Linked DNA regions of Oryctolagus cuniculus. The protein of the gene in region 1 purifies or fractionates together with the protein of each later gene. This does not show direct contact. Links are inferred from orthologs where the notes say so. Each region holds a gene or a part of one and is shown in the gene's direction. Other genes may lie near its edges. The genes, in order: FHL2, TNKS1BP1, CNOT1, CTNNB1 and EYA3.

Region 1 (5,499 bases):
CAGTAGATTCACGCAGCTCTCATCATGGGTACATATTTTGAAAGCAAAGACAGACAGACCCTCCTAGGGTTTCCTCTGGTTTGGCTCCATGGAAGGAGCTTTTGAATCAGAACACTTGGCCTTGAAGCCTAGCCCTGCTGTTTGTCTGCTGTGTGACCTTGGGCAGGTTGTCTGACTTCTCTGCACCATGTACAGCTTCGTAGTGCCTGTAACTCACAACGTGGTAATAATGACCATCACAGGTGTCTCTGCAAAGTTGGGATGTTTTCATGGTGAGTGTGGAGGCCACCCCATTCCTGAATGGTAGGGGTCGACAGTGTGCAAATGATGGGCTTTGCTATCTAAAATAAGTTCATGGAGCCAGTTGTAGCGCAGTGGGTTAAGCTGCCACTTGGGGTGCCATCGCCAGCACCCCATATCAGAGTGCCAGTTCTGAGTCCCAGATGCTGTGCTTTGGCTGCAGATCTCTGCTGATACACCCGAGGAGGCAGCAGAAGATGGTCCATGTGTCCCCAGATGGCTGCAATGGCCCAGGGTGGGCCAGTCCTAAGCCAGGAGCCAGGAGCTTCTTCCAGGTCTCGCATATGGGTGCAGGGGCCCAAGTACTAGTGCCATCATCTGCTGCTTTTCCCAAACACATTAGCGGGGAGCTGGATCAGAAGTGGAGAAGCCGGGACTCAAACCAGAGCCCATGTGGATTGCTGGCATTGCAGGTGGTGGCTTAACCTGCTGTGCCACTATGCCGGCACCTCTCCCCATATTTCTGAAAAACACTTTTAAAATGCAAAATGAGACTGGTTCTATGCACCTTCCCCCTTTGCCCTGGTGTACAGACCCCTGAGTTTGGGTCCACAAAGGCTAGCGAGGGCCCCAGCATTGCAACAAACCACCCTAACAGGCCCTGTGGTGAGGCAGCTTCCATCTCGGACACCCCACTGATGTGTAGAGTGCTGGTCTCACAGAAACAAGGCTGCGTGGTCCCACTGGAAGAAATGCCTTGTGCTCCTCGCTCCTTCCTGCGTCTGCCTCATCTTCTTGCCTTAGCTCTGGTTCTGACCCCAGATGTTCCAGAGATGGCAGGAGAGAGGACGGGGCTCAGCACAAAGCCGTTACCGCGAGGTGGTGGAGGTGACTATTTTCGGAGTATTCCATCACTCACGTTTTTAATAATTCCTTGGACTAAAACGTGCAGAGAGAGCGAGGTCATCGAATCAAATAACTTGGGGTCGTTTTGGGCTCTGGGAAAGCAGGTGCGTGCACATGCATGCACGCACACACATACAGCGCGGTATTTCAGCGAGAGAGAACTGCTTGTTCTCCTTCAGGTTCCGACGTTAGCTGGTGTCTTGGGACTTCCTGATGGAGTGCATCCTACACTCGGGGCGTGGGTTGCAGCCACAGAGGCAGATCGGTGGGCCGCCATCTGCGTGCACCTCCCACGTGGCACTCAGGGTCCCTGTGATCTGGAACCTGGCCCAGAAACCTGCAGCGTCCCCCACACGCTGTCTGTGCCTCGTTAGAAACAGAGCGTGGGCCCGGGTCACAGCTGGGAATACACAGACAGCACTAGAAGTATCCTCTTCTGGAAGCCACGCTGCCTACAACGAGGCTGCTATTTTGGTTTGGGTTGGCACTTTCAAAATGTCCTTTTTAAACAGGCAGATAAAGAAGAGATCTCGGGCGAGGGCAAGGGTGTCATGCTGTTGCACGGTTTTCTCTCCCGGGCGCATTCCGGTTTCAGCCATGACTGATACACCTGGCCTGCCTACTCGCTGCCCGCAGCCGGGCCCAACAGGAACCCTCACTGCCCCCACCCCACTACCCCTTAGCATCTGCCTTGCACTGCCGCTCCGGCTCTGCCCCAGGCCCCGCCCTGCCGCCCCCAAGTCCTCCGCATCTGCTGGCGGCACCTGCCTAAGACGCCTCCCCAGAGCCCCCTCGCCGGCTCGCCTGGGCCCTGTGCTTGGGGCTCCTCTCGGAGCGTGCCCCACACGTGGGCTTCTCTGTCTCCACTGAGCTGCCTCCATCGAAGATCTAGCTCTCCCTGCTGCGTGTGGAGCACGAAGCACCCAAGGCCCGTGCTCGGCTTCCGCGTTTCTTTCTTACAGGCAGGACCTAAGGAAAAGCTCGTTTTCAAAATCACCTCCCTTTGACCCATGGTCCTTACACACACAGCAGGAGCCCAGCAGCCCGGCATCGGTCATCCCAGCCTCGCTTCCCCTTGTTGCTTTGCCTTGTGGGTGTCTTGAGTACGCATGTGCGCACATGCGCACTCCCCTGCGGTGGCCTGACTGCGCGTTTGCGCGCATGCGCACTCCCATGCTGCCCTCGGCACTGACCGTCTCGTGTGTCTGGCTCCGCAGGACTTGTCCTACAAGGACCGGCACTGGCACGAGGCCTGCTTCCACTGCTCGCAGTGCAGGAGCTCGCTGGTGGATAAGCCCTTCGCAGCCAAGGAGGAGCAGCTGCTCTGCACGGACTGCTATTCCAACGAGTACTCGTCCAAGTGCCAGGAATGCAAGAGGACCATCATGCCAGGTCAGGACACGCGGCCGTCTCGCGCGCGGTGGGGGCGGGGGGGGCCGCGGTGCTGAGCCGGTCCAGCCCCAGGCCTTGCTGTGACCCGCCGTTGGCGTCCACTTGTTGCACACACTCGGGTTTGACTTCCCCTTGAACTCAGAGAAGTGCTCAGAGCACCACACTGATTTTTCAAATGCATAAGATCCATGAACGTGATAATGAGATGCGGAACAAGAACCAGACGCTGGGGGTTTTCAGTTCGTAGCTTCGGTAGGTTGAATATTCATTTCTTCTCTTGTTGATGTGAAAGGCAGAGTTATATAGGGAGAGGGAGAGACGGAAAAGAGAGAGCTCCTCCATCCCCTGCTTCACTCCCCGAATTGACCGAGACAGCCAAGGCTGGGCCTGGCCAAAGCCAGGAGCTCAGAGCTCCACCAAAGTCTCCTGCGTGAGTGGCAGAGGTCCACCTGCTTGGGCCATCTCCAGCTTTCCCGGACGCATTAGCAGGAACTGGATCAGGAGCAGAGTTAGCCGGGACTGGAACCTGCGCCCGGTAGGGGGTACCCGCCTTGCAAGGCGGGTCGCTGGATTCCTGTTGGCGTGTGAAGAGAAGCAAGGCCCAGGAGAAGCTGACACTCAGTCGCTGGCTCCCCCATGGAAGACCTCTGTGTGAGTCTCTTTAAACCCAAATGCCAAGCAATGGAGTCTGTGCTCCATTTGAGGGATTGCTTGCTTTTTTGCCAGTGAAGAGTTCTCAGTGAGCAGCTGGCATATGGAAAGTATTTTAGGAAGATAGATTGAACAAGAAGTAATTTTTTTTAAAGTCAAGGGGATAATTGTAGGCCTCTGGTAGCCTGGTTTCTTATTGCCACGACTAATACAACTTCAAAATAATTGCGACATACAGGGTACTTCAAAAACTTCTTGGAAAGTGAAATTAAAACACAGGTCTGGGCCTGGTGTTATGGCATAGGGGCTAAGCCTCTGCCCGCAGCACTGGCATCCTATATGCTGGCTCGTGTCCCGGCTGTTCCTTTTCCAATCCAGCTCTCTGCTATGGTCTGGGAAAGCAGTAGAAGATGGCCCAAGTTAGGTCTGTTTGGGTGCAACAATGTTTTTGAAATGCATGCATGCGTAACTTTTCATAATCGTCCTTTCCATGAATTTTTCCAAGATCTCTTGTGCCCTAACAAAAGCGTGAACCACTGCCCTGCTGGGAGCTGTGGGGAGGGCACAGCTGAGGGGCCACGTGGAGACCTCAGAAGGTGGAAACTCCCGTAGGAACTCGGCCTGCGTGCCCTGGACAGTGGGAGTAAGAGCTGGAGCCCCCAGGAAACCAGGCTGAGCTGTGGCCCAGCAGAGACACAGCTGTCCTGTACTGTTCACTGAGAAACAAATGAAATCTCCTCTAGCCTTGTTGACTAGAGCCAAGGAAGCCTCCGAGCAAACTTCTTTAACTCCTCTGTCCTGTGCCCTGTTCGCAATCCCTGCACTGCGGAGAAGGCGCAGGGCCTCCCGCAGCACGGTGGAGCAGGCTCCCTCCAGCCTGGCCACCCTTGGTCCGCGTTCTTGCACGTTCTTGCCCTTTTTCTTGTTTGCTCCTTAGCTCCACTCACGCTCTGCCCTCTCCCGAGTCAGCCCTGCTGGCCCCTGCACCGCTCCAGTCCTCCTGTCCTCCACTGCCCCACTTGGAAGACCAGGTCCTCCTAGGGTTCTTCCTGAGTGGGGAGGTGGGGAGGCTGCAGGCGGAGGCCCCTAACCATGCGGGTGTGTGGTGGGGAGGTGCAGTTGAAGACCTGGCATCTGTAGACGCCATGCCTGAGTCCTTCTGCGCAGATGAGACCATTCTGAGAGGCCGTATTTGTGCACTTGGCCACAGTGCAGCCTGGAGCACCCCCATTGGAAGCGCCTTTCACAAGAATGCATGGAAGCATTCGTAATTTAAGCTTAAATGACCTTCAAGTTCACCTGCTGCTCATCTTACCAGTGAAGAAACCAGAGTGGCAGTGTCCTGCCCCTAACTGCAGTCAGTGGCTGAGCAAGGTTAAAGTCCTGTCGGGAACGCACGCTTTCCTCCACCTGGGAGTGGGGCTTCCTCCATAGGGGTTTGCTGGCAGGTACACGGGGTGCACCTTGTCTGAGATCTTCACTCCAGTGAGACAGCTTGGTGCCGTCCACATGTGTTGGACACGAAGCCAGGAGGCCCGGTTATCCTTGTTTTTGTCACCAGAGCCAGTGATCAGAGCTGTTGGGGCCCTGACCTCCCCATGGGAAAGAGGAGGGGTCCAGAGCCTCCACAGCACTGTGCCCCCCACCTCTGTGTGAGTCTCTGTAAACCCAAATGCTGTTCCCCCAACTTGGTCTACATCCTTGATGGGAAGGCGGGAGCCGTGGGAGACTGGAGCTGCTTTGGTTTGGCTTTTCCCACTGGAGGGTCTGTCCTGGCCCCCACGCCTCAGTTCTCCTGCCCTGAACTTTGAGGGATGAGGCAGTTTCTAACTAGGATGCTAGTTTCTAACCCTCCCTGGTTGTGGCGCCGACTTCCCCGGTCGTAGGCCCCCCAGTGACTTCATCCCCCTTTGTGTCAAAGTGGGAGAAGATCATCCTGAGTATCAGACTTTTCCTGACACTGATTCTTGGAGAGAATTCTGACATCTCAGACCAGGGGCTGTTCAAGACACGAAACCTTAGCGCCAACCACGTCGTACCAAATAGATGTGTTTCCTGCGTCTCCGAGTTCCTTGCTGGTCTCCAGGGTGTGAGGGCCCTGGAGAGGCAGAACAGACAGGGGATGTGCAAGGCCACATTGTGCAATTCATGAAAAGATGGAAGGAAAAGATTAGTGTATTTGGGTGCAAAAAAAAAAAAAAAACCTTCCAAATGCAAGCATGGTTTTTAATAATACACATTTCCATGATGTTGAAGGCCTTGCATATATATGCACACACACGCGCACACACGTGTGAAGACAGAGCAGCA
Region 2 (6,086 bases), on another chromosome or scaffold:
GAATTTTCAAAGATAAAGCAAGAAATGCAAATGAGTTTGGCCTGTGGGGCTGCCTTGGGCTATGGCTTTTGGTTCTTCTGGTGTATTCACTCAGGGAATGCCCTGGGGGCACCCTGGGCAGCATGGGGCAGCTGTTCACCTTGAGAGTGAACGGGGCAGTGTGGCTGGGACTGGGCACGACCTGATGTAAGCTGGGAGAGGTCTGGCCTCACCCATGACAGGGGGATCCTGCAGGCGCAGCTCCCTTTTACCTCTCCCGATGCAGAGACAAGTCCAAGAAGAAGAAGAAAGTGAAGGCAAAGATGGAAAAGAAATCCACACCCTCCAGGGGCTCGTCGTCCAAGACGTCATCCCGGCCGCTGAGCGAGAGCTTCAAAAGCAAGGAGTTTGTGTCGAGTGACGAGAGCTCTTCAGGCGAGAACAAGAGCAAAAAGAAGAGGCGGCGGAGCGAGGTGCAGCGAGACAGCGGGCGCAGTTGGGCGGGGAAGGGTTTGGGGCGTGAGTCTCGGGTGCGGGGTGTTCCCGGCTCAGGGGTTGTGGTGGGTCTGTGAGAGGGAGGAACTGGCAGTGAATGGGAGGGGTTCTGAGGCTGGTGAAGGTGGGTGCTAGCGCTGCCTGGCATGGGGACCAGAGGCCCCGCACTGAAGTGTGGCCAGGTGTCTGGTGTGCTGTGCCTTTCCCCTAAGAGGCCTCTCTGGCTTTCAGGACTCAGAGGAAGAGGAGCCAGCCAGTACCCCGCCCAGCTCAGAGGACTCGGCGTCAGGATCCGATGAGTAAAGAGGAGGAAGAGAATCCGCTTGCCCCGTCACAGCCCCAGGCTCCCCACCGGGTTTTGGGCCCAGTTTCTGCTCACATGACGCGTGGTCCTCAGAGTCTGTGCCCCCGGGACACGCTCTCCCGGTGGTGCGCACTTCCCTGGGATGGGGAGTTGTCTCGCTTCTGCCGCTTCACGGGATGGCGCCTTACAATCTGGGGAGAGATTGGGTGGGAGGCGGGGCACAGGACCCAGATCCCTGTCCTGCGTTCCCCACCTTCGGGATACAGCCACCGCTATTTCTCCTTCAAGTTGCCGCAGCAGGAGTCGTGTGAAATCAGGCCTGAAACTCCTCGGTGGGGCCTATTTCTACCTTCATTTTGTATTTCTGGTCTGTGAAAATCAACATTTAATAAAGGGAACTGACTTTGGAACACGTGTCCTCCTCGTGCCTTCTTTCTAGCCCTCTTGCGCTGCTCCCGCTCGGCCCACTGTTCCTGGGCAGGGCGCTCCCGGGCAGCCGGGAAGCAGGTCTCCCAGGTCCGGCTGCACCAGCATTGGTTTTCACCCCCTCTGCCGGGATGGGCCACCTGAGAGTCTAGAAATGGGAGCTGATCTGATTAGTAAGCCTCCCTCACAGCTCCACTCCATCAGCCAGGCCAAGGGGGAGGCGGCCCTCTGCTCCTTGCTTAAATCACCTTATGAGTCAAGGGGTCTTGGAAAGCTTGGGCTAACACAATCAGGATTGACTGTCCTCCCGGGCGGGCGGGGGAGTGGAAACCGGAGCTGGCGGAGCAGAACGAGGGCGTGTGTGTGTGTGTGTGTGTGTGTCTGTGTAGGGCTGCAGGAAAGGTGTGCAGGGTGTTTGTGTGTGAAGCTTTTGTTCTGAGGTGCGGGAGGAGACAGAACCACACGTTAGGGTTGGAAGGAACTTAGGGCTGAGACAGATAATGGGAGTGACCCAGGGAAGCAGAGCCGCCCAGCTGAGTGGACACACGTCCAGCAGCCACGTCGCGAACGGCCTCAGGACTCAGGTGGCTGGGAACAGGAAGCCAACCCAGTCCGCCAACGCTACCCTCTTGCCCGACGTGGCTCTATGGTGCTGCAGTCCCTAAGAGCGGCCCGGCCCGAGGAGGGGGCAGTGCCAAGGCTGCCTCCTCTCTAGGCGATCGTCTCGGTGGCCATTTTACCCAAGCGCTCCCAGCCGCTGAATTGCGTCAGTTTCGCCCGAATCTGAGCCCCGGGGCGGGCCCCTCATTTGCAAGATCATGAATAATTGAGTAGCGGGCCGCGTCTGTTTGCATACGGCGGGACGGGCTCGGCCTGGGCTTCCCACTCGCGGGTTCCACCGGCTCATGAATATTCACAAGGCGAGCTGGGGGCGTGGTCGTGGGCGGAGCTGGGGGCGGGGCCCCCGCCGGGGCTCGCACTGGCTCGGTCCCGCGGTGACGGCGGCAGCGGCGGCGGCGGCGGCAGTGGCGGCGGGGACTGGCGTCGGGGCGCCGGCTGAGCGGAGCCGGATCCCGGGAGAGCGCGTGAGTGCGCGGGGCCCGGCGGGCGGGAGGGCCAAGGAGGAGGCGGGGTCCGCGGTGGGGCGGGGAAGGGGCATGGGAGGAGTGGGCGCGTTCCAACCAGGACCTCGGGTTGCGGTGGTGGTGGTGGTGGGTGTGGGGGGGGATCGTGACTAGGAAAGTTTGCAGGGGCTGGGGGCGCTGGGGCGGGGGGGAGGGGGCGCTGGCGCGTGTGCGCGGGCGTGGGGGGCGCAGGTCTGGAGCTCGTGCTGGCGGAGCCAGAAGAAAGGGGGGAGGGGGCGAGGGCTTGGGGCGGGGCTGGGGGCGGGCGGAGCGGCTGGAGGGACCCCCGCCTCCCCGTCCCCCGGGCCCGCGCCGTCCCCTCCTCCGGCTCCCTCGGCACGCCCCCAGCCACCCCAGTCCGCCCCCACGTAGCCGGGCCACCGTCTGCTCGCCTGCTGCTTCTCGTCCCGCGCGCAGGTCCACCGCTGCTGCCGGCGTCGCCCCCTCCTCCTCCACCCTCCTCCTCCACCCTCCTCCTCCTCCTCCTCCTCCTCCTCCTCCTCCTCCTCGGCGGCCGCCGTCCGCTCTGTGTCCGGAGCTCCCCACCGGGCCCCTCCAGACAGCCCCTTGCCCCGGGCTGTTCTGTCTTCCCGCTGGCCCTCCCTCTTCCTGCAGTTTGCACGCTGTCCCTGCCGACCTCTCTGGCCCCGGACCCGCCTGGAGGAGGTTCTAGGGTCCACAGGGACGCCCCGGCCTGCGCCCCCCTACGCGAGCCCGGAGCCGCCTGGCCCCTTCCCAGCCTTGCTGGCGATCGCCTGTCTCCCGCGAACTCCTGCGGGCTGGAAGTGCTGCGAGCTGCTGCCGCATCTGGCCACCGCCTTGGTCACTGGGGCTCCTGGCCGGGGCCTCTGAGTTGCTGCGGCCACCTCCCTAATGGGGTGGGGGGGTGGGGCTCTGAGCCCACCTTCATGGCCACAGCCTCTCATCCTGCCGAGGGGCTCATCAGGGACCCCAGGTGAAAGCGCTTTTCGGTTCTGGGCCGGTTCCTCTGCGTTTCCACCCACTCACACCCTGTCCCTTTTAATGACGTTCAAGGACAAGGAAGCAGTCTTGTGTTTTTTAATTTATTTTTTCTATCATGTGCTCACCCCCTCCCCGTGCGCGCACTGCACACTTGGCTTGGCGCTGCAGTTACTCGCCCACAGTGGGCAGGCCTCCGTGCTGGTTGCCTGACCAACGGGTTGAGTATCTCTGCTGTCTTTGCACTCTCTTGTGTCTTTGCAACCAGCTGGGGCCGCGGCAGAGTCGGGGGTGGGAGGGTGAAGGGGACAGGTTTGCAAAGGTTAGGCACCTGTTTTTGGGGAATTGGTGCTGTTTTTCTGGACTACCTGGAGCAGGTAAGGAAGGTGGTGCCAGGTGCATGTTGGAGAGCCTTGTGTGGCCCTCGCCCGCTCTGTACCTGGCAGGTGATAGGTGACATCCCCCTTTCTTTGGAACCAGAGTGGCAGGCTGGAGAGCCTGGTGTGGGGTGGGGGGTGTCTTGTGGGTGGGAGGGTGCCTCCGGAGCCGGGATGGGAACTGAGGAGGTGTGTGCAACCCAGGTGACAGGACTGGGGCCTGGAGAGTGAAAGAATGGCCTTGGAATGCAGGCAGCCTGGCCTTGGGGGGAGAGGAGGAGGTGGTTGCCAGGGATGTTAGCTCATTGGTGGCCCTGAACGGAATCCCAGGAATACTGGCCAGCGTTTATTGGACACTAATGTGCTGAGCATTGTGTGAAGCAGCTTCCAGGCATCATCTCCCCGAAGCCTCCGGATAGCCTCTGTAACCCCACTTCTCAGACCAGGAAGTTGAGGTCTGGAGAAGTTGCCCAGCTAAGGAAGTGGCAGACCCACCTGACCCACCCAGATTGGAGTCCTGAGATATCGCACGTGGAGGCTCACCTGTGTGGCTTTACCATGGGGCCGCGTCACTTGATTGGCCTGCTGATGCCCCCCTCAGAACCCCTTCAGGCCGGTCCTAGCCTATGGGGACTGCCCACCTACCCCCTTCCCACAGGCTCTGGCTGTCCCACCCTGACAGTCCTGGAAGGGGAAACCCCAGGGAGTTTTCCCCCAGCACCCCCCCCCCCCCCCCCCCCCGGATGTTCTCAAGCCCTGTCCCGTTCTCCCAGCCCAGGCCTGGGCCGGCTCCTCCTTCCTCTTGGCGAGGCTCTGGAAATCCAGTGGGAGGCCATTGCTATGGCAACAGGACTAGGCCCTGGCTTTACCTCATCAAATTCCAAGCTGAAGCCAAAGCGATTGAGAAATTAAAGAAAAAAAAATGTGTTCCAGATGTTTACTTTTTTTATTCCTTATTTTTCCGTGTTTGGATGAGACAGCTCCAAGGAGGGGTGGGGGGAGAGCCGGGCAGGGATGTGGAAGGAGAATGGGGAGAGAGGGGGGAGAGGGAACCACTCCCAGCTGCTGGAGGGAGGGAGGCAGGGAGAGCGGGAAGGGGGAGGCATGCCGAGGGGCGGAGCCCCAGGTTGGGGAGGAGCGGGTTTTTCCCGTCTCCCTGGAGGTGATTCACGGAGAGGCTTCAGACTGCACTCTTCTTGCTCTGTCTGCAGTAGATTCCTTACAAGGGGCTCCTGGCCCAAGCAGGGGGGCCTCCCTGGGAGCTGTAAGTGGGGGTGTCTCGGGGAGCTGGTAGTCCCTAAAGCTCCAGGACTTTGGGGTTAGGAGAGCAGAGCTGGAGAGGATGTGGGAAGAGTTGAGGACACGCCTGCTGGGGACCTGGCCTGACCTCCCCAGCCCCCTCCTGAAGTTCCCTCTTCCTGTCCCACACTCCGCCTCTGTGGAAGTAGGAGACCCCTGGGCTAAGCCCGCTGCCCACACCCAGCTCTCTCCCGCTGTCTCTTCCCGAGCCTCCAGCCAGCGCCGCTCACGCGCTCTGCTTCCTATTTCTCAAGCAGGATCTGCCGCATGTGATGAAAGTGTCTACTCTCAGGGAAAGCACAGCCATGGCTTCCCCACCGCCCCGGGAGCCGGAGGAGGAGCTGCTGCCCGCTGGCTCCGAGCCAGGTACCCATGGGTGCAGGGTGGAGCCGGTGGCTGAGAGCAGGGTGGGAAGGGCGCAGGCTGCACCCCCATTCCATCCTGGGGGGTAGCTGAGTTGAAGTGTGTTGAGGTAGCTGCGAGGCAGGGCCGCAGTACTAGGAAGTGCGGGATAGGGTGGGAAGGCCCTCGGCCCGGCTCTAGCACCTCTAAGGGCAGACAGGACCCATGGGGGTGATGTGGGTCCAGCTGTGTGTTTTGCAGGTGGGGGCAGGGGCTGCGGCCGGGAGAGGGGACCCCTGAGACCCAGAGGGAGGCCTGGAGTGCACCCACCCAGGCTCCTGCCTCCATGTCTCTAGACTCTTAGCCAGCTGAGCGGGTGATCGAGGGTTCCACTAGAAGGGCTGTGACCCGGAGTGATTGCGATGCTGTTTATCTGGCATTGGAATGCCTTATATAGAAGGAAGATTTCTGGTCTTGGTTTTGAGTTTTTTTCCCCCGCTGTAGCAGATTTACTTTTGTTTGGCTTAGGTCAATAGTAAGTTTGCATTCCTTGGTCACACACCGGATGACAGTGGGGAGGTGGCCTGGGTGTGTGCTGGAGGCGGGGGTAGCTGGAAGGCAGGATGAAGAAACAGAGTTGGGGTGAGTTTACTGTGGGGGATGCAGCGGGGAGAGGGCTCCATGGGAAGACAGTGGGCGACTGGTGTGGCGGGAGATATTTGTTTATTGGCTCATTCATTCATGTGTTTGATTAGAGCATGTGCTGGGTACAAAGTAGGG
Region 3 (6,146 bases), on another chromosome or scaffold:
GTTCTCTTTCTCTGCTTTCCTCAGCCTTCTCGATATATAAAGCCAACATCCTCTGCTCAGTTCATTGAAACATTCATTCTGTTCAATGGAATGAGGACTTGCCTGATTGTAGAATCATAAATAAAAGTCAGTCAAGAGCTTTCAGCTGAATTTGTTGTAATTTTGTCTTTTGATGCAATGTTTTAGATCCATTTCTTCATTTCATACTTTTTCAGTTTTTTTTTTTTTTTTTTTTTTTGACAGGCAGAGTGGACAGTGAGAGAGAAAGACAGAGAGAAAGGTCTTCCTTTGCCATTGGTTCACCCTCCAATGGTTGCCGTGGCTGGCACGCTGCTGCCAGTGCACAGCGCTGATCCAAAGCCAGGAGCAAGGTGCCTCTCCTGGTCTCCCATGGGGTGCAGGGCCCAAGCACTTGGGCCATCCTCCACTGCACTCCTGGGCCACAGCAGAGAGCTGGCCTGGAAGAGGGGCAACCGGGACAGAATCCGGCACCCCAACCGGGACTAGAACCCGGTGTGCCGGTGCCACAGGCGGAGGATTAGCCTAGTGAGCTGCGGTGCCGGCCTATTTCATACTTTTTCAGCACATGCCTACCTTGTGCCAGGTACTGAGGACTAGGTGCAAGGAATAGTTATGTACAACTGGAATGATCCTTGTCCATGCTGCATGTGGGATTCCTGGATCTCATATAGCTGCTTGAAGGCATAAGGCATACAGTACCTGTTTACTGAAAGACTTGGCCTCCAACCAAGGAAAAGCAGGTGTCGCATAATATTTTTATGTGAAGTGAAATCAGACCACCAGAAAAACACAAATACTGTACAATTCAACTTATATGAGATATTAAAGTAATGAAACCCTTAAAAACAGAAAGGAAAATGGTGTTTGCTAGGGGTGGGAAGAGTTGTAACTGGGGAGTCCTTTTGCAAAATGGAATGTTCTAGTTAGGAAGGCCTTTGGCACAGCAGTTAGGATGCTGTTTGGGTTGCCCACATCCCATGTTGGCATGCCTGGTTTCAAGTCCCAGGTTCACTTCTCCTCCCAGTTTATGATTTCTGCTTCCTGCTAATACACACCCTGGGAGGGATCAGTGATAGGTCAAGTAATTGATTTCTTGCTACTTATGCAAGAGAACTGGATTGAGTTCCCAGCTTCTGACATCTGCCTGCAGAGTGAACCAGTAGATGGAATATCTCTCTGTGTCTCTTATAAATGAATACATTAGGGGCCAGTGCTGTGGTGTAGCCGGTAAAGCCCCTGCCTACAGCGCCAGAATCCCATATGGGTGCTGGTTTGAGTCCTGGCTGCTCCACTTCCCATCCAGCTCTCTGCTATGGGCTGGGAAAGCAGTAGAAGATGGTCCAAGTCCTAGGGCCCCTGCACCCACGTGGGAGACCTGGAGGAAGCTCCTGGCTCCTGGCTTCAGATCGGTGCAGCTCCAGCTGTTGCAGCCATCCGGGGGAGTGAACCAGTGGATGAAAGACTTCTCTCTGCCTCTCCTCTCTCTGTGTAACTCTGACTTTCAAATAAATAAATAAGTCTTTTAAAAGATAAACACATTATAAAAAGAAAAGTTCTAGAGTCTGTAATACAACCTATGAATATGGGAAACACTATAGTATGCTGCAGATTTAAAAATGGTTAAGATAAGGGCTGGCGCTGTGGCATAGTGGGTAAAGCCACTGCCTGCCATGTAAGCATCCCATATGGGTGCTGGTTCAATTTCCGGTCCAGCTCCACTTCTGATACAGCTCTCTGCTATGGCCTGGGAAAGCAGTAGAAGATGGCCCAATTCCTGGGGCCCCTGCACCCACATGGGAGACCGGGCCTGGCTCCTGGTTCCTGGCTCCAGGTTGGCCTAGTTCCGGCCATTTGGGGAGTGAACCAGCAGTTGGAAGACTCTCTCTCTTTCTGCCTCTGCCTTTCTGTAACTCTGCCATTCAAATAAATAAATAAAAATCTTTTTTTTTTTTTTAAAACCACAGGCTTTAAAAACGGTTAAGATAGTAAGTTTATGTACTTTTGCCACAAGTTTTACGAAGTGTGTTTAGGCACAAAAGGTAGTATGAGACAGGAAATATCGTTTCCACAGCGCTTCCAGGGCTTCAGCCAGAAAGACAACTTGAGTTCCTTATCTCTTTCCAAAGGAGTCACTTCTCCCATAGGTAGACTAGAAGTGAAAGTTCCCTTAAGGAAAGCCAAGCAAGATAAGGCTGGGGGGGAGCGTGGGAGACTACATTCCCCTGCATGCACTGCTCTTCCTACAGCGCCGCAGGTGACGGGAGGCAACGCATACTTTTGCGACCGCAAAGGCGTGAGGCGCGGGACTACAACTCCCAGGATTCAAAGCGTCCCAACCTGGCTCGCTTTCTGCCTGCTGGCGTTCCCCTCCAAAAGGACCCGAGGGGAGGGGAATGTTTCCACTGGGCATCCCCACAGTGTGCTGGACCGTGACATTTCGAAAGAGGAAGGAAAGTGAAGAAGGAAAGTTGAGGAAGGCCGTCGCACTCCGATTCGAACTAGTTCCCGCGCAGGGTGGTGAGGAGTTATGCTTCCCCCTGATTTTTTGTTTCTCGGAGGCAATCGCTGGCCCCCATTGGTTGAAGACTTCGAGGGCAGGTGGGAAGTCCGGGAAGCCCCGAATCGAAGTTATCAGCCTCTCCCCATTGGCCCTCGCCTGGAGCGCAGGCGCGAGGGCTCCGACTCGGGTCCCTCGGGGCTGGTGAGCGGCAATTGGCCAAAGACCGCGAAGTAAGGGTCTTGATTGGTAGTTGCTAGCAGGAGCCTGGTTTCTTCCTTGACTTCTGCAAGTGATAGTTTGTGATTGGTTTGAATCCGCGGGTCCCTGACGGTGATTGGTCGGGAACGGCGAGCGGGCTGAGGTCATTGGCTGATGCGGGGGCCCTCCCTCCTCGGGCGGGCAGCGAATGATGAAATGGGAACGGGGAGGGGAAAGGCCGCGACGTGAGCGCGCGACCTCCGGCGCCATTTTGTAGAGAAACAAGCGGAGTTAACCGAAGAGGGGGTCGAGGAGAGCCGGAGTCGGGGACCCAGGAGTTTCCTGTGTCCAGCGCCACCGGAACCGCCTGAGGTGAGGCGGGCTGGGGTCAGAGGCTGGAGTAGGCTGGCGGTGTCAGCCTGGGAGCGCGAGTGCCGGGGTGGGGAGAAGGGAACGGGGGTGGACCTGGGGCTACAGGGAGCGTTTCCCGGAGCTCCGGGGAGTAAGAGGCAGCCGGGACAGGGAAGTGGGGCGAGGCGGGAGAGGACGGACTCTTTCCCCACGGCCCGCGGAGGCTCCGGGCGCCGAGGAGAAGGCGTTGGCGCGAAGGCTTTTGGAAGCGCACAGGTTCGGTGCGGGGTGAGACCCGGGGTGGCCCCCGGCCGGGGCCTGGCGGCGCAGTGGGTGGCAGCTGGGGCCCCTGGGCCTGGCTTCGCGCGGGCTGCACCCTCCTCAAACTCCGCGAGCTCCTCAACTGCTCCTTTTCTGTTCGGGCTCCCGGCAGGGTGCAGCGAGCTTCGGTCCCCGAGGCCTAGCTCCTCGGGCCAGGCAGCCGGATTCCGAGTTGTTAGGGCTCCCGGGTGGCTCCAGGGCGCCGGGGCTGCCGCGCTGCCCCCTCCTCCGCCCCCAGCACGTTGTCAAACCCCCCGTGTTTCGGGTGTCTGCCGGTGGGAGGGGCGGGCGGGAGCGAGCACTTCCTCATTCTCGCCACAGGTTTTTGTTCCACTCGCGCGCCGCGGCGCTTACGGTTGCTGCGGGGCCGGCCGCCCACCCGCTCGGGCCGGTGTCTGCCTCAGCGGCGGTTCTGCTCGCCCGGGCGGGGGTCGCCCTGGTGAGCCGAGCGCTTGGAGGCCTCGCGGCTGCCGAGAGACGAGCTGCCCGGGTTCTGGGTGTTACTTGAGGCCAAACCCAAACACCCCTTCCCCGTATCACTCTCGTCTGCAGAACCGCCGGGAGTGCACTGTGTAGTAGGTTAGCGAAGAAAGTGCTTGTTGGCTGTGAGCTTTGGAAAGCGTTGCGTTTAAAGTGTATGAGAAGTAAACTTCTCGCCTCAAGTCACCCGACCCCACGTCACATTTCTTGGGACTGCAGTAAAAAAGTCTTTTCCTTGAAAACTGAGTACTTAATTTTGCTGTTGCTCTATTCTATTGCCTGTGGCTACTTGTGGATTTTTTTTTAAGTGAATGATAAAAATGCTGTCAACAATTTTGAGTATTTCCCTCATGACAGCTCTTTGGAAAGGAATAGAGAGCTACATGGATTAAAAAAACAAAACGGGAATGGGTGAGTAAAACACCAGGAAGTAGGTCAAACAGAGGCAGACCAAATTTATTTTTTGCAGCGGTACACTGGGATTTACTTATGATCTGTGTTCCTGGTTGGCATTCTTACCCTTCCAAAGGTTGGCAGCACAGTATTTTAGTTATTACTGGGGTATATGGTAACAGTTTAAATAATTGTGTTTTAGGACACTGGAAATTGTTACCTTGTCTAAGGAGAAAATGGGGATGATGATACATAAAAGCTGGCTGTGCCGCATGTGGATAGAACTGGACCCTTCAACAAGTGTGTGTCCCGAGTCCTTTAGCTAGAGTCAAGGCAACCAGACCTGACCACTGGTAACTGAAACGACTTTCATACCAAAGTTTTAGTGCAGGGTTTTGTGGCGTTATGGTTAAACAGAACTGAAATGCTCTCCTTGCTTCCTTCCTCACTTGATGGGAACCTTGGCTTAGTTTTCTTTTTAAAATCTCTTTTGAATATTTAGTGGGGCTTAAGCCTGGTCTCTGGCATGGTTCTTGTCGAAGCAGAGTACTGTGATATCCCCCTTATATTAGGTTAAAACATTAAAAAACTGAGGACAGAAAAGGAAATGCCAGCTCTTTAAGAATATGGTTTAGGCCCGCGCCGCGGCTCACTAGGCTAATCCTCCGCCTAGCGGCGCCGGCACACCGGGTTCTAGTCCCGGTCGGTGCGCCGGATTCTGTCCCGGTTGCCCCTCTTCCAGGCCAGCTCTCTTGCTGTGGCCAGGGAGTGCAGTGGAGGATGGCCCAGGTGCTTGGGCCCTGCACCCCATGGGACACCAGTATAAGTACCTGGCTCCCGGCTTCGGATCAGCGCGGTGCGCCGGTCGCAGCGCGCTGGCCGCGGCGGCCATTGGAGGGTGAACCAACGGCAAAGGAAGATCTTTCTGTCTCTCTCTCTCTCTCACTGTCCACTCTGCCTGTCAAAAAAAAAAAAAAATATATGGTTTAGAGCCTAATCTCAAATTATCCTTGCATGTACTTTATTTTATTTTTTAATTTTTGGACAGGCAGAGTGGACAGTGAGAGAGACAGAGAGAAAGGTCTTCCTTTTCTGTTGGTTCACCTCCCAATGGCCGCTGCGGCCGGCGTGCTGCGGCCAGAGCACCGTGCTTATCCGAAGCTGGGAGCCAGGTACTTATCCTGGTCTCCCATGGGGTGCAGGGCCCAAGGACCTGGGCCATCCTCCACTGCACTCCCTGGCCACAGCAGAGAGCTGGCTTGGAAGGGGGGCAACCGGGACAGAATCCGGCGCCCCAACCAGGACTAGAACCTGGTGTGCTGGTGCCGCAAGGCGGAGGATTAGCCTAGTGAGCCGTGGCGCCGGCCTGTACTTTTTCTAAGTATGTTTTTTATTAGATTCTGATCTAGTTATGACAAGCGCTTTTTTTTTTTTTTTTTTAAGGTTTATATATTTGGAAGGCAGGGTGACAGAGAGATTGAGGATCTCCCATTTACTGGTTCCCTCTCCAAATGGCCTTAATGTCTGGAGGTGGACCATTTTGAAGTCAGGAACCCCAAATTCCATCTGGGTCTCCAACTTAGGTGGCAGGGCCCCAAGCACTTGGGCCGTCATCCTCTGGCTTTCCCAAGTACATTAGGCAGTTGGGTCGGAAGTGGGGACTGTTGCTCCAGTAAGGGGTGCTGGCATTGCAAGCAGCAACTTAACCCACTGCATCACGGCAGTAACCCCAAAGATTGCATTTTAACAAGCCTAATTTCATTTATTTCATTCTGTGTGGTAATGCAAATCTTTGGTACTTAATGCCGCAAAAGGAAGTTTGTCCGTAATACTTCTAATTGAATACTCTCAAATTTTAAGATTAATTTTTTGGGAAATGCTT
Region 4 (6,213 bases), on another chromosome or scaffold:
CCGTTTCTGCTTATTTTCGGGTCGAGTCAACACACGGTGACCATTTTACATTGATTTAAGGGACCTAATCCAAAGGAGCCACTCATCCGTTTCCCTCTCTCTAAAGGAAGCTCATTGTCTTAGGCACCCAATAAAGGTTTAATTAATGGATTTGATAGAGTTAAGTATCCACACGGTGAATGGAATCTTCTTTACAATGCTGGTTTGATTAATATTTCTTTTTTTGAAGTGCAAAAACAATCTGGGCATTTATTTTTATTTTTTTGCAGAACGATAATTCAAAAGTGTGTGTTTTCAGGTTCTATGCAGCCACTGCTTGATACGCCTATGGTCTGGTATCATGGCAAGCAGTATCTTCTGTTAAACCAGCGGGAGACACTTGGGTTTCTAACAACACAGCCTTATAATGTAGAACCATTTGTTTGGTGCCATTTCACAGAATGATTTAATTTATGTCAAACTCATTGGACTGGCTCTTGAAGGAAAAGGTGGAAAAAAAAAAAAAAAGATAACCCTGAGATTTTTTTTAAAGAAATGTATTGCTCAAAGTCAAGTTCTTGTAATTATTTTCACAGAATTACTTATTTCACCAAGTCATTAGGTATTTTCATGCTCTTTCCCTTTGGTTTGATAATAGTATTTGTCTTGATTTCATAGACGTTATTTCGTATTTTTGACGAGACAACTGTTGTTTTATGAGAAGCAAATAAAAATTCTGAGCAATTTGTTAAATCCAAATAATCTGTTTTAATGCCAGTAATTCTTAAGTATACTTACATGTGATGGAGAAAACAGCATGCTGCATTGTTGCAAATCTTACATTTCTTTGAATAACCTGTGTATTTAAGTATCACTAGGGCTAAAAAAAAACTTGATTCTAAACTTACAGAAAAAATTCTTAGATTATTTTGGCACCTGAACAGAGAAATACAGATAGAAAGTGTTCTTACTCTTTAGATTTTCTACTGGTGCAGATATGTCTTAACAGGTTTCAACAGTGTGCCTTATTAGCAAAAACACACTGAACACAGAAGATGCAAAGCTCTATTTTTAAAAAATACTAATTGTGGAGAATCAGTCATCTGATTTTAAATGTATAATTTGAATCAAATCAACTGAAATATTCCTTGACTCTGTACATGACAATTAAAACGGGGGGGGGGGGTGTGGATACCTGTACACGCCATTTATACCTCTGACTTTGTCTTAGAAACAGTACTTTGATGAAATACCTTTTTCCGTTCGATCTGTTTTGAGTTGCGACCAGGGAAATTAACTGCGACCAACACGCACACTTGATTCTATACAATTGCTGCAAAGATACAGATGAGAAAACCATTGGAGACAATGGACCTCACCAAGCATCATCTTAGCGGGTGGACTTTTTCCACTGCAGGGGCTCCCGCGAGCTGTGGCGAGAGACAGCGGTACCGCTGTATACAGTAAAACATCTTTAGGACCGAAAAATAAGTGTCATTTAGAGAGCAGGTTGGCTCCAAAGCATGCTATCTCCATGAGGTGATGAAAAAGGTTTCCTGCCTGTACTTCTGTATAAAGACCTATTGTTTGCATAGGCATTAATTACAGTCCTAGGAGAAAAGCCCCCGAGGTAACTTTCACTGTTGCCTTCTGTACTTTCTCCATTGTTTTTGGAGGAAAAATAAGCATAAAACAATGGAGGAGAGAGAGTGGACCGGCTTTGACAGATGCCACTCTTGCAGGATGACAATGGAGACGGGGGCAAGGCGGGTGCACTCCCAACTTCCTTGAAGTTGAGAACCAGGGGACGCTGCTGAAGAAGAACAAATTAGTTTTTAAAAACATGGTCCAGGCTGCCTCCTCCACAGCTCCTCCTAGAAACAACCTCCGTGGATGTCTGGAGCAGCAGGAGGGTGGAAACGCAGTTCTTCCCAAAGGAAAAGCCCCACCAGTGGCTCCGCTGCTGCTCCGAGTGGGACCAGACGAAGGTCAGCTACTAAATAGCAAAGACCTAACCGATAGCGCGCGGGAGCCAGTCCTCCTCCACTCGTCATCTGTTCGCAGTGGGGGGACTCGGGACGACTTGTTGAACCACGCGGGGCTTCGGCGCCCACTTCACCCAGTGCGGCCACCGAGTGGGGACGGGACGGCTCGGCCCGGAGTCCGGTGGGGGACGCCGCGCCCACCCTCCGGACCGCAGGGACCTCCGGGGGAGTGAGCGCCCCGACCCGCGGCGGGGCCCCCGACTTCAGCCCTCTCGAGACCCGTCCCACGCGGCCCCACGCGGCTCCTGAGGCCCGGGGCGCGCGATGGCCCCTTCCCCCGCGGGGGGACAGGAAGCGCGCGTCCAGCTCGGGACGGAGCTGCCCTCCTCCCACATCGGCCAGAGTGGGGGTGGGCCGGCCGCCCGGCTGCGGACCACGGCGCCCCCTCCGCTCCCCTGCTGTCTCTGGCGGCCAGGGAGCCGCCGGCGGGCCACGCTGGGAGCGTCCGAGGGGCGCGCGGGCACGCGCAGGCGGGCGGGCGCGCGCGCGGGCCACCCCGCCCCGCCCCGGGGCGGTCGGACGGCGGCGGCGGCGGCGGCGGGCGGCGCGGGGACTACTTTCGGCGGCCGCCCGCGCCCCGCCCCTCGTCCTCGCGCGGCGGAACGCTCCGCGCTGCGCCGGCGGCGGCAGGATACAGCGGGCCAGCGCGACTTATAAGAGCTCCTTGTGCGGCGCCATTTTAAGCCTCTCGGTCTGTGGCAGCCGCGTTAGCCCGGCCCCGGGAGCTGAGAGCGAGGGGGAGGCGGAGACGGAGGAAGGTGCGAGGAGCAGCTGCGGTCCCCGCCGAGCCGCCACCGCAGGCCGAGGACGGTCGGACGCCCGCGGCGGGTGGAGCCTGTTCCCCTGAGGTGCTTGGACGCTCCCTTCCCTTACCCTTCCTGGGCTGCTCCCGCTCCCTCTTCGGAGCCAAACTTCGTCCCGGGCGCGCGGTCCCGGCGGCGGGCGGGCGGGCGGGCAGCCGGGCCCGGCGCAGCCCGGAGGGCCGGGGTGGGGAGCCGGGGACGCGGGCCGGCGACGGCGGGGGCGGGCGGCGTCCAGGGCGCGGAGGGCGGCGGCCGGGCCCAGGTTCCGGCCGCGCTGCCCCTCGGGGGGCCCCGGGGGGCGCCGCGGGCGGGGAGGGGGCGCCGCGGGGGCGCGTCCAGGAGCCCGGATGACCGGCGGCGGGGTGGGGGTGGGAGGCGGCGGTTTCCGTCCCGGGCTCCGGCGGCGGCCGAGTTTGGGGGAGGGACCCTGCGCCTCGGGATGCGCCGGGGTGGGGGGCGGGGTGCGGCCGGGGGGCTCCGCCTTCGCAGCCCGGCGGCGAGTTTGGGGGTTCGGGACGCCGGAGGCCGGGACGCCACCCCCAGGTGCTGTTCTGCGGCGGGGAATGGGAGCCGGTGGAGTTGGCGGGTTTCCTCTCTGCGTCTAACAGACGACTAAGGATATATTGTTAACAACCCTGCCTATGTGAGTTCGAATCGAAACAACTTTAAGCCTCAGAGTAACTAAACTCTTCGTGCAGCCGGCGCGATGCGTCAGTAGGGTGTGCACCTGTGAAGTGTGCGTCGTGCACCGAGGTTTTCTCGTGCGTGCAGGCGAGTGGGGGCGGCGTGGAGCGCTCTGGGTTTGTGGCCGTGGGGCTTGAGACCCCAGGACCGTAGGGGAGGGGACGACGGGGACCGGCTCTTGGTCCCCGAGCGGCCCGCAGGCTCCAGCCTCCGGCTGCCTGGAGACTTCTCGATCGTGGGAATAATTTATTCCAATAGTTGTGTGGCAGCTGAAGTTGATTCCCCTCTCCCCTTTTTAGAGCACGTTTTCTTTTCAGCGGAGCGAATTTTTTTTTCCTCCCCCACGAAATGGGACAGACGAGAATCCAAGCATTGTAACTTCTTTTCGGTGTTTTGTGCGGGGAGAGGACTTTGAACCCGACTCTCAAGGAAGTTCGGTTCCCGTCGCCGGCTTCTGGATCTGCCGAGCTGGGGCGCGGGGTGTAGTCGTTTCCTTGCTGGAGGGGGCATTGTCTCCTACTTTGTGTCTTCCAGACATCTGTGGTCTCCCCTCCCCCCGAGTTTGTGCGCGGTGAATGAAGGGAGACTGGGCTGCTGGTATGCAGAGGTCGGCGAAAGGAAATCGAGGAGTGGTTTTAGTGAACTGAGAGCTTTGTATCGTGAATAATGGTGGCTCAGACTAGACAGCAACTTGAAGAGACGGCTGCGTTTCCTTTGATGACGTCTAGGCCGATGTTTTTCAGATCGCTAAGTTGTAAAGTATTTTGTCTGGAATTTAGAAAGCCATTCCATTATTTACTTGCCACTTGGTGAACCGTCAGTACCCTTCGTTGGCTTCCTGTTAACTTGTCTTCATTCTAGTAAATATTACATCGAGCCCGGAGTGTTACCTACATTATGCTGCTGTTTACTGTTTGTTGGAATCACTGACTATTTTGGAGGTGTTTTGTTTGGATTAAAGCTACTTTCATTTTACTTTTAAATTCTCAAAAATCTCAGGTAGAAGAAGAAAATTCCCTTATGGTTTATTGGAGGTTGTCCTTTCACACAAGACAAAATGTGATTAATTTGCACCCAGTATTCATTACTTTGACCTAATCTTTGTTCTGAAGGCCAAGCACAAAGACAAGGCCCTGAAGTGATCACAACAGTAACTTGAAAAACTTGCAGAAGTCTGTTCTCCAGGATTAAGGGAATGCGGAGACCATTCAGTCTGAAGTCCTTGAGAAGGAATTGAAAAACTGCCCTAGAAAGCTTAGTATTGCCTGTAGCTTAGAGTCCTGTGGCGTCCTAGGCCTGAGAGCCTCCCATAGACCAAAGCAATCATTTAAAACAGCTTTTAGGAAAAACCAACTTAAAAAAAAGGCTAGGAAAAAAAAAATAAAGCATTTAGTAGTGTTCAAGTGTCAAAACTTTTTTAAAAAACCCATTGGCATCTGATGTCTTTCAAGATTAAGTATAAAAATATATTCCATTATTAAAATTTATCAAACTGAATTGACCTAGTAATGGCTGGCATTGAAATTGTCACAAATGAAGGCCTGTATGCTTGTTTTTGTAACCCCACTGCCAAAATGGAAAAAGATCGAGAGGAGGAAATTTTTCTAAGGGTGATTGAAAATATGGTACATAGAAAAACTGCAGGTAGCATTTTTGTTCCAGTTAGGAGAGGCAGAGAGAAGGAGCATGTTGTTACTGTTAAAACTAGGGGTATAGAGAGTTTGATTATCATTCATTTATGGTTAAAGGTAGTGAAATTAGAACTGGCTGTTTAAGTCTGTTCAAATGAAACAATACATTTGTTATAAGGTGATTTTGTTTCCCTGTCATAGTCTACTAGTTGGTGATAATAATTGTAGATGAGTAGGTGGTAAAAAGTTTATACTCTGAATGGGGTCAGAGACATGCTTGACTGCTAAGCCAGGGCAAGAAGGATGAAAGCTTTTATATCTGGATAGACTTCTGATGTTAAAGGGGGGGGGGTATTGTAACCAATGGGGGGTATTGTAGTGGTACATGCTGGTTTGTGATTGTTTTTGAAAACATTGCTTGTATTAACTTGGTTGTTTTCTTGTAGGCCTCTATTTATTGGAACTATGGTATCTATTGTTGAAACAGCTTGACTGAAAACGTTTTTATACCAGGAAAGTAAATAGTAAACATAGACCAGAATCTTTTTCTGATTTATTCAAAGCATGTAGCTATTGCCTGTTGCAGCTTCATGGAGAAGATATCTTGGCAGAATCAAGTCCTCCCACTTTTTTTTTTTTTTTTTTTAGATGTATTTTATTTTGAAAGGCAAAGGTACAGAGAGACGGAGGCAGAGAGATCCGTCTTCGATCCGCTGGTTCACTCCCCAGATGGCCACAAAGGCCGGAGCTGGGCCCATCAGAAGCCAGGGGCCAAGAGTTTCTTCCAGGTCTCCCCCGTGGGTGCAGGGGCCACCAAGGTCTTGGGCCGTCTTCTGCTTTCCCAGGCCATAGCAGAGAGCTGGATCGGAAGTGGCTCAAAGCAGCGGGCATATGGGATGCAGGCACTGCAGATGGTGGGGGCCTTAGTTACCCTTGTTTTAACAGACTGTTGTTGGTGTACTGTTTTGTTCATTTGTGTGATGGATAACTAGGCTAACAGGTTAAAATACATACTTGACAAGTTTTGCAAAAAGGAAAATGTTACTTTTCGTGGTTTGGAAAAGTTGGAAT
Region 5 (5,429 bases), on another chromosome or scaffold:
GCCAGAATTTGGGTTTGGAATTGGATGGCATGTCTAATGCTAACTAATAGCTTGTGTGTGACCTGAGGCACGTCACTAGACCTGTGAGTCACCTGTGAGACAGAGAATGGTTCCTGCCTCACTGAATTATTGTGAGAATAAATGAAGGAATAAGTGGAAAGTGTTTTATAAACTATAAAGTACAGAAGATGTGGAAGAGGAGGTGGTACTCACAGCTGTCTCACACCCCATGTCCCTTAGTCTCCCAGTTGTAGAAATTTCCTTGATATGAGGGCTAAAATAAGTTACCGTTGTAATGGCCCAGTGTCACATTCTTTTGGGCAGTGGGCCTGCTGAGTCTCTGTTCACTACCTTTGCTCCCAACCAAGCAAACTACGTGGGCTGCCACGTGGTCTGTCCGAGTACAGGCGGGTGAACCTGACTGTTGCAGCCTTTGTCTTTTAAGTTTTTTGTTTTAATTTTTAGTTAGCTTTTAGCAGATTCAATGTACATGTAGATATAATGCTAAGAACATAATGATAGTCCCTTCCTCCTTCTCTCCTTCTCACTTTCTTTCTGCATTTCTTTTTTTGTTTTGTTTTGAGATAACATTTTTAAATTACATTATAGTAAAGACTTAATACTTGATAAATTTAACAAGTGAAAAGCAAAGAGACCCTAGTTTAATGAGAATATAGACAACAAACAATAATTGAATGGAGAAATGGCCATTTCGCCCGTATACACTAAATTTTAAAGTAAACACGGATCATTAAAACTGTAGTAATATGGGCTGGCGCCGCGGCTCAATAAGCTAATCCTCCACCTAGCGGCGCCGGCACACTGGGTTCTAGTCCTGGTCAGGGCGCCGGATTCTTTCCCAGTTGCCCCTCTTCCAGGCCAGCTCTCTGCTGTGGCCAGGGAGTGCAGTGGAGGATGGCCCAGGTGCTTGGGCCCTGCACCCCATGGGAGACCAGGAGAAGCACCTGGCTCCTGCCATCGGATCAGCGTGGTGTGCCGGCCGCAGCGCGCCAGCCATGGCAGCCATTAGAGGGTGAACCAACGGCAAAAAGGAAGACCTTTCTCTCTGTCTCTCTCTCTCACTATCCACTCTGCCTGTCAAAAATAAATAAATAAATTAAATTAAATAAAAAAACTGTAGTAATATAACATTTTTGACCACTGGTTTGACAGTTTGCAGCCTTTTTCTTTTGTATGGAAAAAAGGGAAGAATATTCTCATAGGAAATTTCTTTTTCTCATCAGGTAAGGAGAGCTGCTTTGAGAGAATTGTGTCAAGGTTTGGAAAGAAAGTCACGTATGTGGTGATTGGGGATGGACGCGATGAAGAAATTGCAGCCAAGCAGGTAACCGGCAAAGCGGATAAGCCAGAGGTTGGGCATTGAGCAGTCAGAAAAGAGGTTCAGACTTCAGAATCCGGATATGCTGCTGTGCAGCTACAGTGCTGTGCTGTAAAGAGGAGAGTGGTTCTCTCCCCAGATGAAATTCTCTGTATAAGCTGACAGACCACCTCATCCCTGCCAGTCAAAAATCTTAAAATCTTTGAAGCCTGTTGCAAGGAGCCTCATCATTAAACCTGTTTTCACTGTAGATGGCAGTGCCTTTCTCAAGAATATCAGCCTTGACCACAAAAAGCACAACTCATTCTGACTTTTCTAGGCTCAGATTCTAAGAAGAAAGAAAGAAAAAATATATATACAGTACGGTTGGGACTGAATTGCTATAAAGAATGTCCTTTCCAATTTTGAGCCCTGAACAGTGGTTCTGATATTAACGCCATAGCTATACATGTCCTGACACCAGGTCATCCCTTCTCACTACAGGGAACAGTAGGTGAAAGAGTTTTGGCTGTAGAATCTACAAAGGCAGGTTCGGTTCCCATGTGTTTATAAGCTGTGCAACTTTGTACAGTTCACTTGTTTTCTCTGAGTTTCCTCATTTACTAAATGGATCTACAGAAGTTCTTTCCTTCCCTACCTCAGTTTATTTTCTTCCAGCAGCTCTGTTTCTTAGATTTGTATTCAGTGGGTTACCAACTAGAACCACCTGCCTTGAGTTTCTTCCCCCAGGTAACATAGAAACCTTAGCAACTGGGGACGGTGTTGTGGGGTAGCAGGCGAAGCAGCATCCCATGTGAGCACAGGTTCTTATCCTGGCTGCTCCACTTCCGATCCAGCTCCCTGCTAATGTGCCTGGGGAAGCAGCGGAAGATGACCCAAGTGCTTGGATCCCTGCCACCTATATGGGAGACCTGGTTAAGTTCCAGGCTCCTGGCTTCAGCCTGGCCCAGCCCTGGCCATAGGGGCCATTTAGGGAGTGAACCAGTGGGTGGAAGATCCCATTGTCACTCCCTCTCCACTGTAACTGCATCTCAAGAAAATAAATAAATTTTAAAAAGAAAAAAGGGCTGGCGCTGTGGCGTAGAGGGTAAAGCCACTGCCTGTGGCACCAGCATCCCATATGGGTGCCAACTCAAGTCCCTGCTGCTTCACTTCTGATCCAGCTCCCTGTTAATGTTTCTGGGAAAGCAGTGAAAAATGGCCCAAGTACTTGGGCCCCTGCACCTGTGTGGGAGACTCGGAGGAAGCTCCTGGCTCCTGGCTTTGGACCATTGTGGCCATTTGGGGAGTGAACCAGCAGATGGAAAACTTCTCTCTGTAACTCTGCCTTTAAATTAGATAAGTAAATCTTAAAAAAAAAAAAAGAAGAAGAAGAAGAAGAAACAAACTAATGATGAATCATGTGATTTGTGATCAGTTGGTGTTAGCACCTCGTGATGGTTTCATTTGTCACTGTATGTAGCAGTTCAAAGACATTTGCTTTTTTCACATATCTCGTCACAGAAGCTTTCATTACAGAGTTTCTTGTTGCTCTCTTTGGGAAAGACCCAAGTGTCAGCTTAGTGCTTCCCTGTCTGAAGAAGGGAGTGGGGAAGAGAAAGAACCATTTGAGTCATTAGCAAAGTTGGTGTAGTTACCGTGCTGCTTGTAATCACCTACTGAAGACTAACCCCCTGGCAGACGCTGTAATGCTTTGTCTGATCCGACTTCCACCATGGGAGGGATCTTTTCTGAAGACTTGCTGGTCCTTCTTTGAATAAACCCAGGTGTGCCCAGGTAGCCTATTCCACTGTGGAGTCCAGCCTTCCACTGAATAAAACGTTATCTCTAAGTAAGTCTAGCACACCTGAGCATAACAAAACAAGTTTGCTTCCTCTTCTGTATATTAATGGCCTTTTAAATATCTAGTGTGAGCGATAGGTGCTTGATGTAACTGTTAAGTCACCTCTTGGGATGCCCACATCACACATCAGAATGCCTGGTTTGAGTCCTGGCTCTGCTTCCCATTCCAGTTTCCTGCTAATGTGCACCATGGGAGGCAGCAAGTCATCACTTGTGTCCCAGCAGCCCACATGGGAGACCTAAATTGAGTTCCAGGCTTCTGGCACCAGCCTGACCCAACCCTAAGTGTTTTGGGCGTTTGGGGAATAAAGCAGAAGATGGAAGATCTCTCTATGTCTCTTTCTTTCTGTCCTTCAAATAAACATTTTTTTAAGTTGGTGGAGAATGAGATTAAAAGATAAGTTTACTTTGGTGTGGATAATCTTGAAATCCATGCATAGTTTTTTCATGATACACATTTTTCATGAGCTTTGTGTAGCTAGAATAGTGTACATATATTAATATAATAATATAATAGTATATCTAGAATAGTAGCTAGAATAGATATATCTCTTACAGTAAAAGCAGAGTTTACCACTGAACCCATTTCACACGTGTGAAGTGTCCTATAACATGCAAAGTTACTCTGATCCTTATGACTGCTCCGAGGTGGGGAAGGTTACCAAGTACCCTGGGAAGAGGTCTGTGGAGGGTTGGGTACGGGTGGATAAAAACCGCGAAAGCAGCTGGGCTGACCGTTCACCTTCCGTTCTCCAGCACAACATGCCTTTCTGGAGGATCACGAACCACGGAGACCTGGTGTCCCTGCACCAGGCCCTGGAGCTGGATTTTCTCTAAGAACTGGAATGAGGAGCCTTTCTGGTGAGCTCCTTTCCACTCCTGAGGGCAGCCAGAGACTGGAACCAGCTGGGGACTCTCTGTCTTTGCTCCATGGAATGCTGGCGAGAACACAATCAGAACAACAGCTGCAGATTTGGCCGAGAGTCAGCCCCAGCCCGTGTTCATCCTCATGCAGAAGCGGAGACAGCTGGATAGAGAGAACAATAGGCTCGTTGCAGCTACTGTGCTTTTAATTCTTCTCTTTTGTTTTGTTTCAAAAAAAAAAAAAAAAAAGAATGGAAATTCCTGGAGCAGAGGTGCGCTCTTAGTGGTGGTCAGACTGAGAACTGCTGTGACCCTGTGGTGAGAGGATAACGCAGCAGACTTCTGGGACATCTCTTGCAGTCTTTAGAATCTCCTTAGCCGTAGAACTTACTTCCAGTGAATGTGTATGTTATTTTTATAGGTGAGGGTCTCTGAAGCAGGTGTCCCCCTTTCTTTTTCTAGCAAGAAAGGGTCATTTAAAGTTTCCTTGAAAATAGTCATTGAAATGTCTAAATACCTCTGTGTGACGGTAGCCCCCCCGTAGCTGCTCCCAGGGGTCTGCTTCTCTCCCGTTCTTCCATTTCTTACTTGGCCGAACTGTGGGGTGCTGGACACTGATGAACTTTGGACTTGGCATTTCCCATCCTTTTAAAAGTCTTAGTCCTTTTTCCAGTCCTTCTTCCCCTTTAATCAAGTGACACAAACCAAGAAACTGCTTCTTTCAGACGGTAAATTCTAAGCCTTCAGCTTGACTCTTAATTCAGAGACTACATGCCAGCAGGCTAATCCTCCCACCTGGAGAAAAAGGATTGAGGCTTCTTAGGAACTTCAGCCTCTTTGGCTCTCAAGACAGGAAGACGCCATCCGATCCTCCAGCACAGAAGCAGCTTTTCCCGTCCACTGCCGACCTTGCGGCCCCCTCTGCTTGTCCATCAGCTGCTGGGCCTAAGCCTTCGCTGCTGTCTCCATTCAGCTCTGACCAGTCCACACACATTGGTCCCAAGAAGTCAAATCAAGTCTAAGAATAGGCTGGATAAGAATTGGCCCAAACTTCCAAAGTATTGGGCTTCCTGTGAAGAAGCCCATAAGTTGCCTGTGGGGTATCTGGGTTCACATTCCCCCCAAGCCTCTGCCTGAAACTGACAGCAGACTGCTCTTACCTTCCCCAGCAATACCCGCTTCTGGTGTTCACTCTGCAGTAGGAATCCAGAAGGCCAGTCTTTCCTGGTTTAAATGAGGATGCGGGCTCCCCTACTTCACACCTGAAGACTTAATCCTGGACCAAATGCAGGAGCATCTCTCAGCCTGACCCCTGGGAAATTGGTGGATACCTCAGCACTGGGGCCAACCTTCCAGCCTGGATGGATTTCTTGGATGTGCCATC

Evidence for each region.
Region 2: the proteins of FHL2 (region 1) and TNKS1BP1 purify together in Homo sapiens (affinity purification with mass spectrometry; 3 studies listed by BioGRID and IntAct, with this or other methods). This does not show direct contact. The link is inferred for Oryctolagus cuniculus from reciprocal best matches to the Homo sapiens genes FHL2 and TNKS1BP1.
Region 3: the proteins of FHL2 (region 1) and CNOT1 purify together in Homo sapiens (affinity purification with mass spectrometry; 3 studies listed by BioGRID and IntAct, with this or other methods). This does not show direct contact. The link is inferred for Oryctolagus cuniculus from reciprocal best matches to the Homo sapiens genes FHL2 and CNOT1.
Region 4: the proteins of FHL2 (region 1) and CTNNB1 purify together in Homo sapiens (affinity purification with western blotting; 3 studies listed by BioGRID, with this or other methods). This does not show direct contact. The link is inferred for Oryctolagus cuniculus from reciprocal best matches to the Homo sapiens genes FHL2 and CTNNB1.
Region 5: the proteins of FHL2 (region 1) and EYA3 purify together in Homo sapiens (affinity purification with mass spectrometry; 3 studies listed by BioGRID and IntAct, with this or other methods). This does not show direct contact. The link is inferred for Oryctolagus cuniculus from reciprocal best matches to the Homo sapiens genes FHL2 and EYA3.

The regions. Positions count from the first base shown.
Region 1 is NC_091433.1:103,233,598-103,239,096, forward strand, and holds part of FHL2 (four and a half LIM domains protein 2), read left to right. Parts: intron 1-2,363; coding exon 2,364-2,538; intron 2,539-5,499. UniProt on the Homo sapiens protein: May function as a molecular transmitter linking various signaling pathways to transcriptional regulation. Negatively regulates the transcriptional repressor E4F1 and may function in cell growth.
Region 2 is NC_091432.1:14,793,340-14,799,425, forward strand, and holds the start of TNKS1BP1 (182 kDa tankyrase-1-binding protein), read left to right. Parts: upstream 1-2,178; 5' UTR 2,179-2,289; intron 2,290-4,792; exon of another isoform or gene 4,793-4,929; intron 4,930-5,218; exon of another isoform or gene 5,219-5,221; 5' UTR 5,222-5,236; coding exon 5,237-5,330; intron 5,331-6,086. Other genes in the region: FACT complex subunit SSRP1, read left to right, coding at 266-452, 706-777.
Region 3 is NC_091449.1:41,893,084-41,899,229, reverse strand, and holds the start of CNOT1 (CCR4-NOT transcription complex subunit 1), read left to right. Parts: upstream 1-2,421; 5' UTR 2,422-2,538; intron 2,539-2,922; exon of another isoform or gene 2,923-3,091; intron 3,092-6,146.
Region 4 is NC_091441.1:106,507,652-106,513,864, reverse strand, and holds the start of CTNNB1 (catenin beta-1), read left to right. Parts: upstream 1-2,615; 5' UTR 2,616-2,872; intron 2,873-3,335; exon of another isoform or gene 3,336-3,470; intron 3,471-6,213. UniProt on the Homo sapiens protein: Key downstream component of the canonical Wnt signaling pathway.
Region 5 is NC_091438.1:143,664,129-143,669,557, forward strand, and holds part of EYA3 (eyes absent homolog 3), read left to right. Parts: intron 1-1,244; coding exon 1,245-1,345; intron 1,346-3,351; coding exon of another isoform or gene 3,352-3,429; exon of another isoform or gene 3,430-3,508; intron 3,509-3,937; coding exon 3,938-4,018; 3' UTR 4,019-5,429. UniProt on the Homo sapiens protein: Tyrosine phosphatase that specifically dephosphorylates 'Tyr-142' of histone H2AX (H2AXY142ph). 'Tyr-142' phosphorylation of histone H2AX plays a central role in DNA repair and acts as a mark that distinguishes between apoptotic and repair responses to genotoxic stress.